Linked DNA regions of Elephas maximus indicus. The protein of the gene in region 1 binds, or shares a complex with, the protein of each later gene. Links are inferred from orthologs where the notes say so. Each region holds a gene or a part of one and is shown in the gene's direction. Other genes may lie near its edges.

The links. The genes of interacting proteins can lie anywhere in the genome.
Region 2: MED13 (region 1) and MED21 share a complex: the UniProt entries of both Homo sapiens proteins name them as parts of the mediator complex. The link is inferred for Elephas maximus indicus from reciprocal best matches to the Homo sapiens genes MED13 and MED21.

What each region holds. Positions count from the first base shown.
Region 1 is NC_064837.1:34,008,790-34,015,792, reverse strand, and holds the start of MED13 (mediator of RNA polymerase II transcription subunit 13), read left to right. Parts: upstream 1-4,003; 5' UTR 4,004-4,117; coding exon 4,118-4,183; intron 4,184-6,046; coding exon 6,047-6,281; intron 6,282-7,003. UniProt on the Homo sapiens protein: Component of the Mediator complex, a coactivator involved in the regulated transcription of nearly all RNA polymerase II-dependent genes.
Region 2 is NC_064822.1:85,864,278-85,872,228, forward strand, and holds the start of MED21 (mediator of RNA polymerase II transcription subunit 21), read left to right. Parts: upstream 1-4,935; 5' UTR 4,936-4,968; coding exon 4,969-5,010; intron 5,011-7,951. UniProt on the Homo sapiens protein: Component of the Mediator complex, a coactivator involved in the regulated transcription of nearly all RNA polymerase II-dependent genes.

The sequences.
Region 1 (7,003 bases):
TTGCAGGCATGGCCTGGAGTTTTGACCCCTGGTGATCCAACTGTCCAAATGTCCAATCTAGCAAGATTATGAGTTCCTTGTATACCCTGCGCCTTGCCCATACATGACCTGACACATACTAGATGGTCAATAAATGTGTATACTAAACTGTATATATAGTATGACCTTATGTAGGAAAAATATGTATGGAGTAAAATCTGGGAGGGTATACATGAAACTCTTAAAGGGTAGTTAATTGTGAATTGTGATATTATGGGCAATTTTTTGCAACATACATTTTTAATTTTCATCTTTACACCTTTCTGTATCTTCCAAACTTTTGACAATGTGCATGTATTGTTTTCATTTATTTCTATTACTGTTTATACTACACAAAATGTCATGTTAACAGAATGTAGGTGGTTATATCTGAATTGGGTTTAATAAGATTTAGTTGCTTCAAAGGGCTTTATAAGAATTCATTTTATCCTTCAAATCTGATTTCAAATGCTTCCTACTTCATGATGCCTTCTCTGACTTTGGTGCTCCTTCTCCGAAGCTTCTATTATGCCAAAGTTGATACATACTGTACGCCGTCTGTGTACCAATGTTGCTGTCTGCCCCTCCTCCCCTGATGTTCCCAGTCCCCTCACAGATGGGGTCCCCTCGCCTCCAATTTTCTTCTCCATTCTCATTCTCTATTTCTCCTCTCTTTCTCTTCTGTTTCTTTCCATGATCTTCCTCAGATTTTTCCTTTGAGTCTTCTTCCCTTCTTGTCTCCTATCTCTCCCTTCTTTTTGAGAAGACTGACTTTCAAATGAAACGTCAATCAAATGTTACTTTCCATCAGGGAGTTTTCAGGCTGATTCTACTGGAGTCCTGAGGAAGATGCTCAGAGTTGGGAGTGGACACAATGATGAGGGAGACTTCTAAGGAGGATGGATACTTTTGGTTGAAATAAGGGATTGAGGACTACATTTCAGAATGACAAAAGCAATGGGAACAAAGGTTCGAGGATTCCCTCAGGGAAAAGGGTAGAAGAGAGCTGAGCAGAGGGCCCCTTACCTGATTGGGCCTGAGGGTTGTTATCTCCTAGTGTTGGCACTCAGTTAGAAAGAATGCTGACCTCAGTTGATTTGAGCTCCTGGATTGAATTAGTCCTGCTTGTGTAATTGACTTTGATATGTGGCCTTTGGATCTGAATTGGGTTTAATAAGATTTAGTTGCTTCAAAGGGCTTTATAAGAATTCATTTTATCCTTCAAATCTGATTTCAAATGCTTCCTACTTCATGATGCCTTCTCTGACTTTGGTGCTCCTTCTCCAAAGCTTCTATTATGCCAAAGTTGATACATACTTCATTCAAGCAATTATCTTCATCGTATTTTATCGTAGTCTGTGGGAAATTGTTCCTTTATTTTCTCACCTTAGGAATCTTGAAGGACAGGAAGGTATTTCACTCATATTTGTATCTGAGGCCTAGCACACACCAGGAACATACTCACTTGAGCCAGCAGTACTCAATAACAATTTAAAAAATATATTAACAGCTAAAATTTAGTAAGCACTAGGATACGCACTATACCTACATTGTTTCATTCACCAGACACTTTAGGCAGAAAGTACTTTTATTTTGCAATGAGAAAACTGAGCATAAGAGAATTTTTTTTTTTTTAGTTTTTATTGGGCTTTAAGTGGGAGCTAACAAATCAAGTCAGTCTCTTACACAAAAACTTATATACACCTTGCTACATACTCCCAAATGCTCTCCCACTAATGAGACAGCCCGTTCCCTCCCTCCACTCTCTCTTTTCATGTCCATTTCACCACCTTCTAACCCTTCTACCCTCTCATCTCCCCTCCAGGCAGGAGATGCCAACATAGTCTCAAGTGTCCACCTGATCCAAGAAGCTCACTCCTCGCCAGTATCCCTCTCCATCCCATTGTCAGAGAAATTTTTTTGATCTAAGGTTGAATTCAACCCAAGGTCAACTAGTAAGTGGCTGAATTCTTTTCTATATGCTTTTTCTGGATCCAAGATCTGGGCTCTTAACCACTATGGATGGACACATGGATGGATGAAGGAATGCTTTTTACTCTGTGGCTGAAGAAGAGACATGGTAGAGCTCATCATTTATTTTATAGAGACAATTATGATTAGTTCTAACTTTTACTTTTTCTAACTTCTGAATCATCTCTTTTTTTCTTCTTCCTTCCTTCCTTTCTTGTAATTCTGTATCTAAAACTCTCAGGAAAAATGTTTTGAGCACTTACGTTGGAGCGTAATCCAGACAAGAACCAAGTGTTCTGTGGGGAAGGGAACTAACATTGTATTTGGTTTCTACCTCTTGCTATTCATTCATTTCTAAATTTATAAATATCAAGCAGCTACTGGGCGCTTATGGTAAGACCATGTGTGCACAGAAGAACTACTCCATAGGATTTGGAAGCAGATCGCCAGGCCTGTCTTCCGGGGCACCTCTGGGTGGGTTTCAATCACCAGCCTTTCAGCTAGACTGTATAACCACTTGTGCCCAGGTGTCACCATGAGTCGGAATCATCTTGATGCAACTAACAACTGGGTGCTAGAAACCTTTTAGGCAGTAGGGGTATAATGGTGAACAAAACAAAGTCCTGGCTCTCAGGGAGATTACACTCTTAAGTGGACACTTCACATATACTAGTTCACTTGCTCCTCACAATGACTGCATAAGGTAATGATGACAACAATAGTGGGTAACTCTTAACAATGTTTATCTGTACCAGGCACTACCTACATGCTTTATATGTATAATCACAAAACCCTGTGAGCCAGGGGTGGTGTTTTCTCCATTTCAGAAATGAGGGAATTGAAGCACTAGGAGGTTAAGTGACTTGTTGAAGTTTTGAACCAGGGTGTGTGACTCTAATTCCCAGGCTACTAACCACAATATGTTTCGTTTATGTTTTCTATCTTCATATCACACAACTTTCACGTGGCTAAATTGTATCTCCATCCAGATCTGTGTGACTCCGAAGCCCACGGGTTTCCGCTGCATCCCAGAGGCCTCGTGGAATAAATGAGAAAGAATGCCTTGGAATTTTTGCAACACTTTCTCTTCCAAAGAATTCAAACTGATTTCCACATAATTCTCATAGATTTGTGCTGTGAACCTCCTTGTACTGTAAATTCCCGCACAAGGAGAAAGATAAACCCGAGTCCCGGGTCATTTGACACTAGCCGGAGCACCCAGCAGATGGCGCTATCTTAGTAGCCACCAGCTGGCTGCCCCATCCCCGGGGCTCCCCACCTCCGCGGAAAGCTTCCCAGCCCTCCCTCACTCCCTTCTCTCTCCCCCTCCCCACGGAGCCCGCGTCCACGTGACCTTAAGACGGCCAATAGGCGAGCAGAGAGGGCGAGCTGGTCCCTGTGGCCGCCATTAAAGCGAAGGGAAAACCCGTGAATTCGGATTAAAGGGGGAAAAACACCGCCCGCTGGGCCCACAAAATGGGGGAGGCTACTGCGTCCAGGCTGTGAGGCCGCAGGAGAGCAGACGTTAGGTCGGCCCGGCCCAGGGACGACACGAAGACAGCCGGAGAATGGTCTGAGCCCCAGACGCCGCCACCACCTCCGCCACTGAGGAGACTCTGGGCTTAAGGACATCGCCGCTGCCGGGCCGGGGGCCTGGGCTTCCCTCCCGGTTCTCGCCCTTCCAGCTCCTCTGCGGCCGCCTCCCCGCCCGAGGGAATCGTCTGGGGCTTGGGCTCGACCGTCTCGGACTCGATTTCAATTATTTATTGTGTAATTTATTATTTTTCTGGTGGAAGGGGCATACATCTCCTCTGTCCCCCAGAGAGGGGCAAGCGCCTGCGGGCTCCGCGGCAGCCGCAGACCGGCCCGCGGAGCGAGCGCTGCGCGGCCCTCCCGCCTCCGGTCCTCGGCCCCGGGCGGCTGGGTGCCGGCCGGGCGGCGGGGGCTGCTCGCGGCGGCGGGGGGGTGGGTGGGGAGGGCGGGCGGCCCGGCGGCCTCCTCTTCCATCGCCCCCCCCAGCCGCCACCCCCCCCGCCCTGCCCGGTGTCTGTGTTTCTCTCTCTGGTCGGAGGCGGCGGTAATGGCGGATGGTGGGTTGTGGCGCCGGCGGCGGCTGCTGTGAGGGACGATGAGTTCCTCCTTCGTGCCGAACGGGGCCAGCCTGGAAGATTGTCACTGTAACCTTTTCTGCCTGGTGAGTGCCCGGGCCGCGGGCGGGGACGGCGGCGAGTGGGGCGCTGAGGGAGGGGCCGCGAGGTGCGCCCTTGGGCCGTGGGGGAGGGGGTCCGGGTCTGATCCCGGCGCCCGAGTCCCAGGCCAGGCCCAGTGGAGCCGGCGCGGCCGCGAGGCCCCGCACCCAGCCCCGGGAGACGGCGTCCGCTCGGTCGCCGTCCTGAGCTCTCGGGAGTGGGGAGTTTGTTTCTTGTCTTGTTTCTGACTCCCCCCCCCCCCCCCGCATCGTAGTCTTCTCTTCAACTTGGGCACCTCATCTGCCGGGACACTGACTTAATTAACATTTCCGTCTGCATTTTTTGCCTAACTATTGCTTTTCTCTTTTTTGATCCTGTATCCCTCTTCACACTTTCTATTATTGCCTGTTCTCCCACTGTCTTTATACTTCGCTCTGGTAATTTGGTTTCTCCTAATAAACAGGACCCCAGAGTTTATGCACTGACTCCCCCCCCCCCCCATTTTACATTTTTTCTACGCGTCAGACTAACAGTTTGACTTCTGGGTGACTTCACATCTTTGTGTAAAAACCAGTAGATGCCATTTCATATGTTTTCTTCCTAAACTTTGAAAAGTTTGCCATTTTGACAATTTCTAGCCATCTTGCTATTATTAGAACATTATGCTTGTGTGAGAGTGGAGGGGGCTAATGGAGGAGGTGCTATGGTTTTGCTCTGTTTCTATATTGGTCTGTTTTGCTTGCCTTTTCAGAATGCTTTGAGCAGGCTGCTCCATGTTTTATTGAAATGGAAAGTCTGGGGAAGCTATACGGAGAAATGACAATCGTGTTGATTGGTCCAGGCCTGGGAACTTAGAACATATAAGACTTCCCAAAGTACCAACTGTTGCAAATACGTAGTTCAGAAATGGGCAATAGCTTAATTTGGTGACAAAGTTTGGGTGACTTTTTTCATTTTCCTCTGTGCTATGGGAAATATTAAGAGTATATGATAGGTAAATGAGTTGAGTGGGCGGAGCACAACTAATTGGCAAGTGCAAACTGCCAGTCATGTATCAGCAGTTTCATTTTTGGCACCTTATGCTTTGCCCCTTTAAGTGAGGTTGAAGAATTAATGGATTCCCTCTGTCGAATCTCTTTCACAGTGCTATTGAGATCTGTAATGCCTTCCCCCCTGTAAATTATGTTGGTTTTCTTGTATAATGTCCATTAATCAGCATCTTTGCATGTAAAAAGACATACACCAGGTTTTGAATTTCTGTGCTCTCCAACTCAGTCTATTTTTGGTACTTTTAGGATCAAGTTCTTTGAAGATAGTCTAGCACAAATCTGAGATTTCTTTGTGGGCAGCTATGTGATTTTTCCTAAAGTGGATGTGGCAAGAATTAACTAGAATTTTTACAGGAAGTATTCAGATATCTTTTTATTAGAGCTATGACTTCTACAAACATGGAATGATAAATTTTTAAAAATTAATTTTTAGTTAAAAGTTTGACACCAGGGGACAAACAGGACCACTTAGAGTAGAATTTAGGACAGAGAAAAAAATGTTTACTCAGTCAGTGTGCAGTGTTAAAGTACATGTTTATATTTAACATTCTTTTATTTCTATTTGGGGCACATTATATTTATTGACTTGCTAATTTGTGACATGTCAGTGTTAATATTTTAACTGTTTTTGTTCTTTTTAAATTCTTGGTTATTATCAGATGTATAAAGCTTTTTTACTTTTTTTTGGTTTTAAGCCACTTTGAATATTTTAAGCATATATTGAAAAATTGCAGTGTCTTAATGAAAAAGGGACTTTTATGGTGAATAGTTTTAACTTTGAATGCACAGTAATAAAAAGTCATGCTTTCTTTTCTTCAGGCTGACTTGACCGGAATTAAATGGAAAAGATACGTATGGCAAGGCCCAACTTCTGCCCCTATTCTGTTTCCGGTAACTGAGGAAGACCCCATTTTGAGCAGTTTTAGTCGATGCCTTAAGGCAGATGTACTTGGTGTTTGGCGGCGAGATCAAAGACCTGGAAGAAGAGAATTATGGATATTTTGGTGGGGTGAAGACCCTAACTTTGCTGACCTTATTCACCATGACTTATCAGGTGAAAGCAGCTTATCACTTTCAACTAATTATGTAGTAAGATTGTATACTTTCCCCAAAATAACATTTGTATTACAAATTAGGATTTTTTTTTTTTGATGGAACATTGTTAGATATGAAGCCAGATAAAAATTAAGCCCTGTGTTTTATTACACCATGGTTATTTAAAATATGCTATCCATGTGTGTTATGGCAGGTTTTTTCCTTCTACCCACGTTGCTCTGAATTTCTCACAGGCAGTTAGGCTTCAGGAAAACATGCTATATTAACTTAAGAAAAATGGAATTTGGGGGCATGAAGTTCTCAACAAAGTCATATAATACCTTTGAAGCCAAGTGTACCACACCTGGGAGTCAATTCTGCCACTGCTCTGTACTGCATGAATAGCCAGACAATTATAGGAATATCTAGAAGTGGTGTGTTGTGAATTTTTCTTGTTTTTGACAGCATATAGTTATTTTGTTATTGTTTTATTAACACATGAAGGCATATGTTAATTTTTTTTATTCTTGGAGAGTGATTATTTTATCCGAGGTACTGTTCCATCAAAAACTATCGTTAATATAACGAGACAGGTACATCTTGTTTAGCTTTTACAGGATGTGGTGTCATAATCTGAAAGGTTATGCAGAAGTAATTTTATTGTGAGCAAATCAATATGATTACTTCCACCTTATTCTCATAACCTTTAGGACCAAACGTTACTTTAGAAAGAGGCTATAG
Region 2 (7,951 bases), on another chromosome or scaffold:
GGATGTTCTTTCTTGTTTGCTCATCTGTAGGCAAAATACTTCTCACAACCTTGTCCAAAGGGCAGGGCCAGTCGCTCAGCTATGGTGCAGCAGGGCAGGTCCAGCAAATGGGGAGGGGCTTGGATAGGTCATTTGTGGCACATACTGGGGGAGACAGGGCAGGGGTGGGGGGCGGTGCAGGACATGTTTCAGGAGACAGTACCTGTGCTACTCGGGGATGTAATGCTCAGTGCATGGTGCAGATAGGCAGGAGAGAGGGGAGAGGATGTGATGTGTGGAGCTAAGTGGGTGTGGGAAAGAAGAGAAAGAGGAGAAAGACAAGCCAAAAAAAAATGCTAAGGGAGCCTGCCGTTGGAGTGGCACAGACCCAGGGAAGCTGTGTGCCATTGGCTTCGTAGCCAGGCAATGTGGCACAGCCCATCAAGAAGGGACAGATATGGCACAGACAGCTAGGTGGGCAGGAGAAAGGAAAGGAAGGAAGGGAGAGAGAGATAAGAAACTAGATTTTAAAAAAGAGAGAGAGAAAGGCACACATGGCCAGGTGGTCAGGAGAAAGGAAAGGAATGATGATAGAGAGAGACAAGAAACCAAGAGAAAAAAAGAAAACATCAGGTGGTTGGGAGGAAGAAGAAGGAAGGTAGAGAGAGACAAGAAACTGAGAAAAAAAAAAGCCCCAAGGGAGTCCACCAGAAGTGGGTCCCCAGCTGAGCAGCACTGCACAGCCCATCAAGAAGGAGCAGAGATGGCACACAGTACCAGGTGTTCAGGAGAAGGGTAAGGGAGGTAGAGAGAGACAAGAAACCAAGAAGAGAAAAAAGAAAGAAAGAAACACCCCAAGGGAGCCCACTGATGTGGTGGTGCACACCAGGAAAGGGGATCTCTAGCCAAGAGGCACTGAACAGCTCATCAAGAAGGAGCAGAAATGGCACACGGCACCAGATGTCTAGGAGAATGGAAAAAAAGGGAGGTAGAAAGAGACAAGGAACCAAGAAAAGAAAAAAAATGCCCCAAGGGAGCCCTCTAGTTTGTTGGCATGGACCAGGGAAGGGGTTCCTTGTCCAAGTGGTGTTGCACAGCCCATTTAGAAGGAGCAGAAATGGCACAAAAGCCATGTGTTCTGGAGAAAGGAAAGGAAAGGAGAGAGAGAAAAAAATGCAAAAGAAGCCCCCAAAACCAAGAACAGCAACAAAAAAATGGCACTGAAAGAGCTGGCTGGTGTGGGCAGGGCAAGTACAAGCAGCAAGAAGCCGGCATCTCCCCAGCCAAGCAACTGCAGCCTGCCAGGAAGCAGCAGAGGTAGAGCAGAGGGAAGAAGGGAGGGGAGTGGGAAAGCATGTATTGCTGGGTACCAGGTGCTCTGTCTCCTGCTGGGAGCTTCTCGTGCCTTCCAGTACTCCCTGTCTGCCATTCTTCGTAGTTCAGGGGTCCAAGATGGCAAATTTGCGCCACGTTAGCGATAGGGGACCTCCACTGTGTAGCTCTCGTCACTCTTTGTTCTCTGCCAGTTTCTTATTTCATTCAGGGCATGGTTCAGCTCTTTATTCCTTCACTTGATGCTTAGGGTTCTGGGATTGATGTTTGTCTCTGTTTTACTTAGTTTTTCAGGTCTTTGCTGTGTAGGGACAGCATGGTGCTTCTGTCTTTAGCACCATGGTGGCTCCCTGGATGTTGAAATGTTGTTTTTGATAATGACTGCAACGCTATTCCTCTTCAAGTTCCCAGCATAGTAGGCTATATGACTGTCCTATTCAAAACGTCCAATATTAGTCCATTTCAGTTCGCTAATGCCTATAATATCAATGTTTACGTGCTCCATTTCATTTGTGATGATTTTCAAATTTCCTAGATTATACTTCATACATTCCAGGTTCCAACTATTAACAGATGTTTGCAGCTGTTTCTTCTCATTTTGAGTCATGCCACATCAGCAAATGAAGGTCCCAAAAGCTTGACTCCATCCATGTCATTAAGGTTGACTCTACTTTGAAGAGGCAGTTCCCTACTTGTATTTTGAGTGCCTTCCAACCTGAGGGTTCATCTTCTAGCACTATATCAGACAATGTTCTGCTGCTATTCATAAGGCTTTCACTGGCTAATTCTTTTCAGAAGTAGACTGCTGGGGCCTCCTTCCTGTCTTAGTCTGGAAGTTCAGCTGAAACCTGTCCGCGATGGGTGACCCTGCTGGTGGCATAGCTCCCAGCATCATAGCAACATGCAAGTCCCCACAGTACAACAAATTGACAGATGTGTGGGGTGAGGGGGAGCACACATAGCATAAGCTTAAAAAACACCAAAACCCATTGTTGTAAAGTCGATTCTGACTCATAGCAACCCTACAGTCCACTGCCAAAAGACTGGCAGTAGGTACAGTCCCATTTAAGCCCCTCATCCATGGCACAAAGTGGGGTGTGCAAGGAAGAGTTGTCATTTCTGCCCAGACAGCTTTTGAGGTGTGATTGTTCGTGATTGAACTTTTCCTGTTGTATGCTGTCTGATTCTTGTAAGGAATAATAGCCACTTTTTATGTGCTAGTGTGTGTTCAAGCTCTGATCGAAAGGATGTAATGTTTATGAAGCAATCTGTATTAGTTATTGGTGCCCTTTTCCTAATGGCCTCCTGGCTACCTAGAAATTGAGTGCAACCTGTGAGCGCTACACAAATGTGGAGCATTGTCATACAGTTATGGTGTGTTTGAGCAGGACATGTTGTCCTACAACAGGACAGAAGCTGTATCATAATATAGTTTTTTTTTTAATAATTTTTTTTTGAGTTTTTGGTCAAAGTTTATGCAGCAAGTTAGGTTTCCATTTGATAATTTCCACACATTGTTCAGTGACATTAGTTACATTTACTACAATATATCTAAAGAGAACATGCTCTAATTGTCTTCTGTTTATACATTTCTGGTACTCTGTATTTTGTGTGCCACTCTGCTATTTTGCTAAAAGGTGATCTCAGAATAGGCTCAGTTCTAGGTTTAAAGAATGTCTCAGGGCAATAGTCTCAAGGAGCCCTCTGCTGTTTTAGTAGGTCTGACTTTTTTGTTTTAATAAGAATTTGAGTTCTGCTCCATTTTTTCTCCCATTCTATCCAGGACCAAGTATTATAACCCTGATCAGGTCAGTGGTGGTAGCCCAGCACCATCTAGTTCTTCTGGTCTCTAGTTAGATGAGGTTGTGGCTTATGTAGACTTGTTTCCTCTCTGAGCTTTTGGTTGCCTTACTATTCTGCTCCTGGTGAGCAGAGACTGCAGTTATATCTTAGATGGCCACTTGCAGGCTTTTAAGTCCCCAGATGCTACTCACCTCACTAGGGTGCAGATCATGATTTTTGTGAACTCTGTTACACCAATTAACTGAGTTGTTCCATGAGGTTATGGTTCTAAGCCTTCAAAGAATATGGGTTATTCTGAAGTAGCTCCTCTACCCTAGGCACCCGAGTTCTCATCAATGGGGCTGCAAAACTTTCTATTCTCCTTTAGTGGGCTCTCTCATTCATTCACCTATATCCAACCAGTCATCAGTCTATATTAACTTTTCCTTTAAAAATACGTTTTAGCCTTTCTTTCTTCTTTTACGAGGGTCAACATCCTAGTCTAGGCCCAACTCAGCTCACTCTTGGATAAATACAAGACCCTTGTGCTTTTCCAACTAAAATTCAAACCCATTGCCATTGAGTCAATTCTGCCTTATGGTGACCCCATTTGTTAAACTGTTCTATAGGGTTTGTTTGGTTGCAATCTTTATGCAAGCAGATAGCTAGGCCTTTTGTCCACAGTGCCACTGGAGAGGTTCAAGCTGTTAGGTTAGGCATCCAGCACAAACAGTTTGGGCTACCCAGGGACTCCTCCTTCCTACTAGACACTGTGAAACGTCTATTCTCCTCTCCACCAACCCTCCCCTGCTCCTCATCCATTTATTCACTGTCACACAAACAAGAAAAGCTTATTAGTTCCCCGTGCTCACACCATACCTCTTAGCTCCAAATGCTTTCTTCCTCCTTCTCACCTTGCCAGCAGTGACTTGCCTTCGCACACTCTTCTAACAGAGTAAATACAGTACTTAATTGTTTTGGACACTTTCCATTTCACCTGTGTCAGCCTCCCAAGCACATCTATACACAATTAAAGCTCCCTAACAGCATGCACCCAATTTCCACTTTGGTAACCCCCTCCATGGCCAAAAGCAAGAGAGGAGGCACCCTAAACCAGTCCTTCCTGATTGCCTAGTGAATTTTAATTTGGATTTGTTGAGTTTAGAATCATATCCTATCTCCCAAAAAAACCCCATGGAGCGGTTCTACTCTGTACCACAAGGGGCTGCCATGGGTCGGAGTACACTCAACTGCAATGGTTTTATTATTATTGACCCCCAAGTATTCTTGAGAAACACTGGTAGCGTAGTGGTTAAGAGCTACGGCTGCTAACCAAAAGGTTGGCAGCTCCAATCCACCAGGCGCTCCTTGGAAACCGTATGGGGCAGTTGTACTCTGTCCTATAGTGTCGCTATGAGTCAGAATCAACTCCACGGCAACGGGTTAAGTATTCTTGAGTTTCTTGCAGCGTATATGCTTTGTGGTCCATTTGGAAAGCAAAGACAACATAAAAATAAGCATTCAAGGTGATGTTAAAAAATGAATACATGGGGGAAAAATCACTAAAAAACCGCAGAATCCAACAATCTCTGTAAAGTGTTTAACACCTACGACGTACTTAATACGAGAACGATTGAACCCTGGACTGTCTCCGAGTTACTCAAAATATTTCCAGTCAGACTCTCCCTCCAGTACCAGCCAGACTAAACAGTCATTAGCTAAGTCTCAGATCCTCCTCCTCTTCCTCGTCCCGCAAATTCTTCCCGATCCCACCCCTTCCAAGAACGCAGCCATGTGATTGGCCACGACGAGTCCTCGAGCAGCCCAATCGCGCACGAGCAGCTGCTTAAGCGTCCCTTTGCGTGAGGGACAAACATGGCGGACCGGCTAACGCAGCTTCAGGACGCCGTGAACTCGGTGAGGAATTTCATTCGATTAGTCTCTGTCTCTTTTTTGGGGTAAACCAAGAGAAGACAGGGGTCCTGAAAGACAAAGCGCGGAAGCAGAGAGCGGACTGAGTTAGGTCTGAGCAGAAAGCGCTCGGGGCGGTGGGAAGCCCCGTCGGGAACCCTGGGAGGTCTGAGGCCGCCCGTCGGGCAGTGCGGAGAGATGCGAGAGCCTTTCTTTTGCTGGAGATTAAGGAGAAGTGGACGCTCTCTCCTTTCTCCTGCACTGCAGCCTGAGTCTTAGGTTTCACAGTCCTGTCATGTTCTCGTTGAGAAGATTTTTATTTTCTTGTTAGTGGTGGTTATCGGCTGTCTTCTTTTGGGGGTGGGGAAGGGGAGAAGCAGAATTTTGTTCGTTTTGTACTGATCAGTTCTAACCACTCGAGGCGAGCCCCCACGGTTGATGATTGGATCTTTAATTAAAAGTTAGCCGAAAGGATTTCTGCAGTAACTTTTAGGTTGGAGTCGGGGAAGGGGGCGTGACAGGGGTTGGGAGTGATGGTGAAGTCGTTTGTGTTTTTTCTAGTTCTTTTCTAAACGCCAAAGGTCTTGTTCTATCTCTTGTCCACTCCTCATCATAGATTAAAAAAAAAAAATAGGTAGTTAATCGAACGGGGGGGTGAGAAGATGGAGCCAGTATGAACGTTCAGCATTGTATTTTAAGTGAAGGCTGGGTGCATTACCAATTTAAAAAAAAGAAAATGAGATGTACGTATGAACTTCAAGGTATTTTTCACAGCTATAAATATAGAGTTACACATATCACAGTAGCGATATGTAATGAACCTTTGAGGTCTATTTAAGATTCACCTGTTTGAAGGTTTTTCATAAATAAAATAGGAACGCTTGGAAAAGGAAAAATCAGTCATAAATAACCCTTCTGGAGTAGAAGAAGGCCATTGGCCCATTGCCAATGACGAATGCATCTTTTGATGGTGAAATAACATTCTTGCAGAAAAGTGTGGGTGTAAAGTTTAATGAACAGTTACAAAGTGAACACCTGTGAAACATTAATGAGGTGAAGAAATACATCATTACCAACATCCCAGAAATGCTTTCTCCCTCTCTTGATCTCAGTACTACCCTGACTTTTGTGATAATCTACTTGCTTTTCTTTGTTGTTTTATCATTTATGCGTGCATGCCTAAATAACAGTTTAATTTTTTTTTGAATTGTATATATATATAAATGTATTCTTTTGTGATTGGCTTCTTTCACCCAACATTTTGTGTGCGTAATAATGTGGCATTCATTTTCATAGCTTTAAAGTATTTCATTTTATTAACATGCTGTAATTGCCACTGCTTTTTTTTTTTTTTTTTTAATATTTTGTTGTGTTTCAGTGAAGGTTTACACAGCAGTTTCAGGTTCCCATTCAACAATTTCTACACCGATTGTTCAGTGACATTGGTTACTTTTTTCACAATGCGTGAGCATTCTCATTATTTCCATTCTGGTTGTTCCATTTTTGTTACAATTTTTTTTTTTTAATTTTATTTTGCTTTAGGTGGAAGTTTACAGCTCAAGTTCATTTCTCATTCAAAAATTTATACACATATTGTTTTGTGTCATTGGTTGGAATCCCACAATGTGACAGCACACTCCCCTTTTCCACCTCGGGTTCCCTGTGTCCATCCCTTCAGTTCCTGTCCCTTTCTGCCTTTTCTTCTTGCTTTTGGGCAGGGGTTGCCCATTTGGTCTCGAATATTTGATTGAACTAAGGAGCACGTTCCTCGTGTATGTTATTGTTTGTTTTATAGGCCTATCTAATCTTTGTCTGAAAAGTGGGCTTTGGGAATGGTTTCAGTTCTGAGCAGAGTATCTGGGAGCCATAGTCTTGGGGGTTCCTCCAGTTCTGTCAAACCAGTAACTCTGGACTTTTTTATGCATTTCAATTATATTTTAATTTTTTCTCCCATTCTGTTTGGGACTCTCAGTTGTGATCCCTGTCAGGGTGGTCAGTGGTGGTAACCGGGCACTGTCTAGTTCTTCTGGGCTCAGACTGTTGGAGCTCTGGGTCATGTGGTCCTTTAGTCCTTTGGGCTAATATTTTCCTTTGTCTTTGGTTTTCACGAAATGGGACCAACAGATGTATCTCAGATGGCTGCTCGCAAAATTTTAAGACCCCTGATGCTACCCACCAAAGTGATGTAGGGCATTTTCTTTATGAATTATGTTTTGCAAATTGGCCAAGATGTCCCCTGAGACTGTGGTCCCCAACCCCAGCAACTTGGTCCCTCAAGGTGTTTGGATGTGTCTAGGAAACTTCTGTGCCTTTGCTTTGGTCATGTTGTGCTGACTTCCTCTATATTGTATGTTGTCCTTCCCTTCAACAAAGTTGACACTTGTCTACTATCTAGTTTATGATTCCATGCCCCCCCCCCCACCGCCTTCTTGAGCATTTGGATTGTGTCTAGTTTATAGAAATTAGGAACAATGCTCCTGTGAATGTTGATGCCTAGATGTCTCCTGGTACACAAGTGTGCACGGCAAGCAGTTAAGTTTCTTTTACTCCATATCTTTATCAACATTTGGTATTGTCAGTGTTCTTCATTTTAGTCTTTCTGATGGATGCATAAAAGTACCTTGTGTTTTAAATTTGCGTTTCCTTGATGACTAAGGTCGCTGTGAGTACCTTTTCCTGGGATTACTGGCCACTGGAGGAGCTCCTCTTTCTTCAAGTGCCTTTCAAATCTTTTGCCCATTTTTCTTAGTCTGTTATGGCCTGTTTATGATGTTTTTATAAATAGAAATTATTAATATGAATGTAGTAAAATTTATCAGTATTTTTCTTTGTTGGTTAGGCTTTTTTGTGTCTTAAGAAATTCTTTGTTACCCCAACATCATGAATGTATTTTCTTATAGCATTATCTAAAAAATATCTTTTGTCTTTTATGCTTAGAGCTTAATCC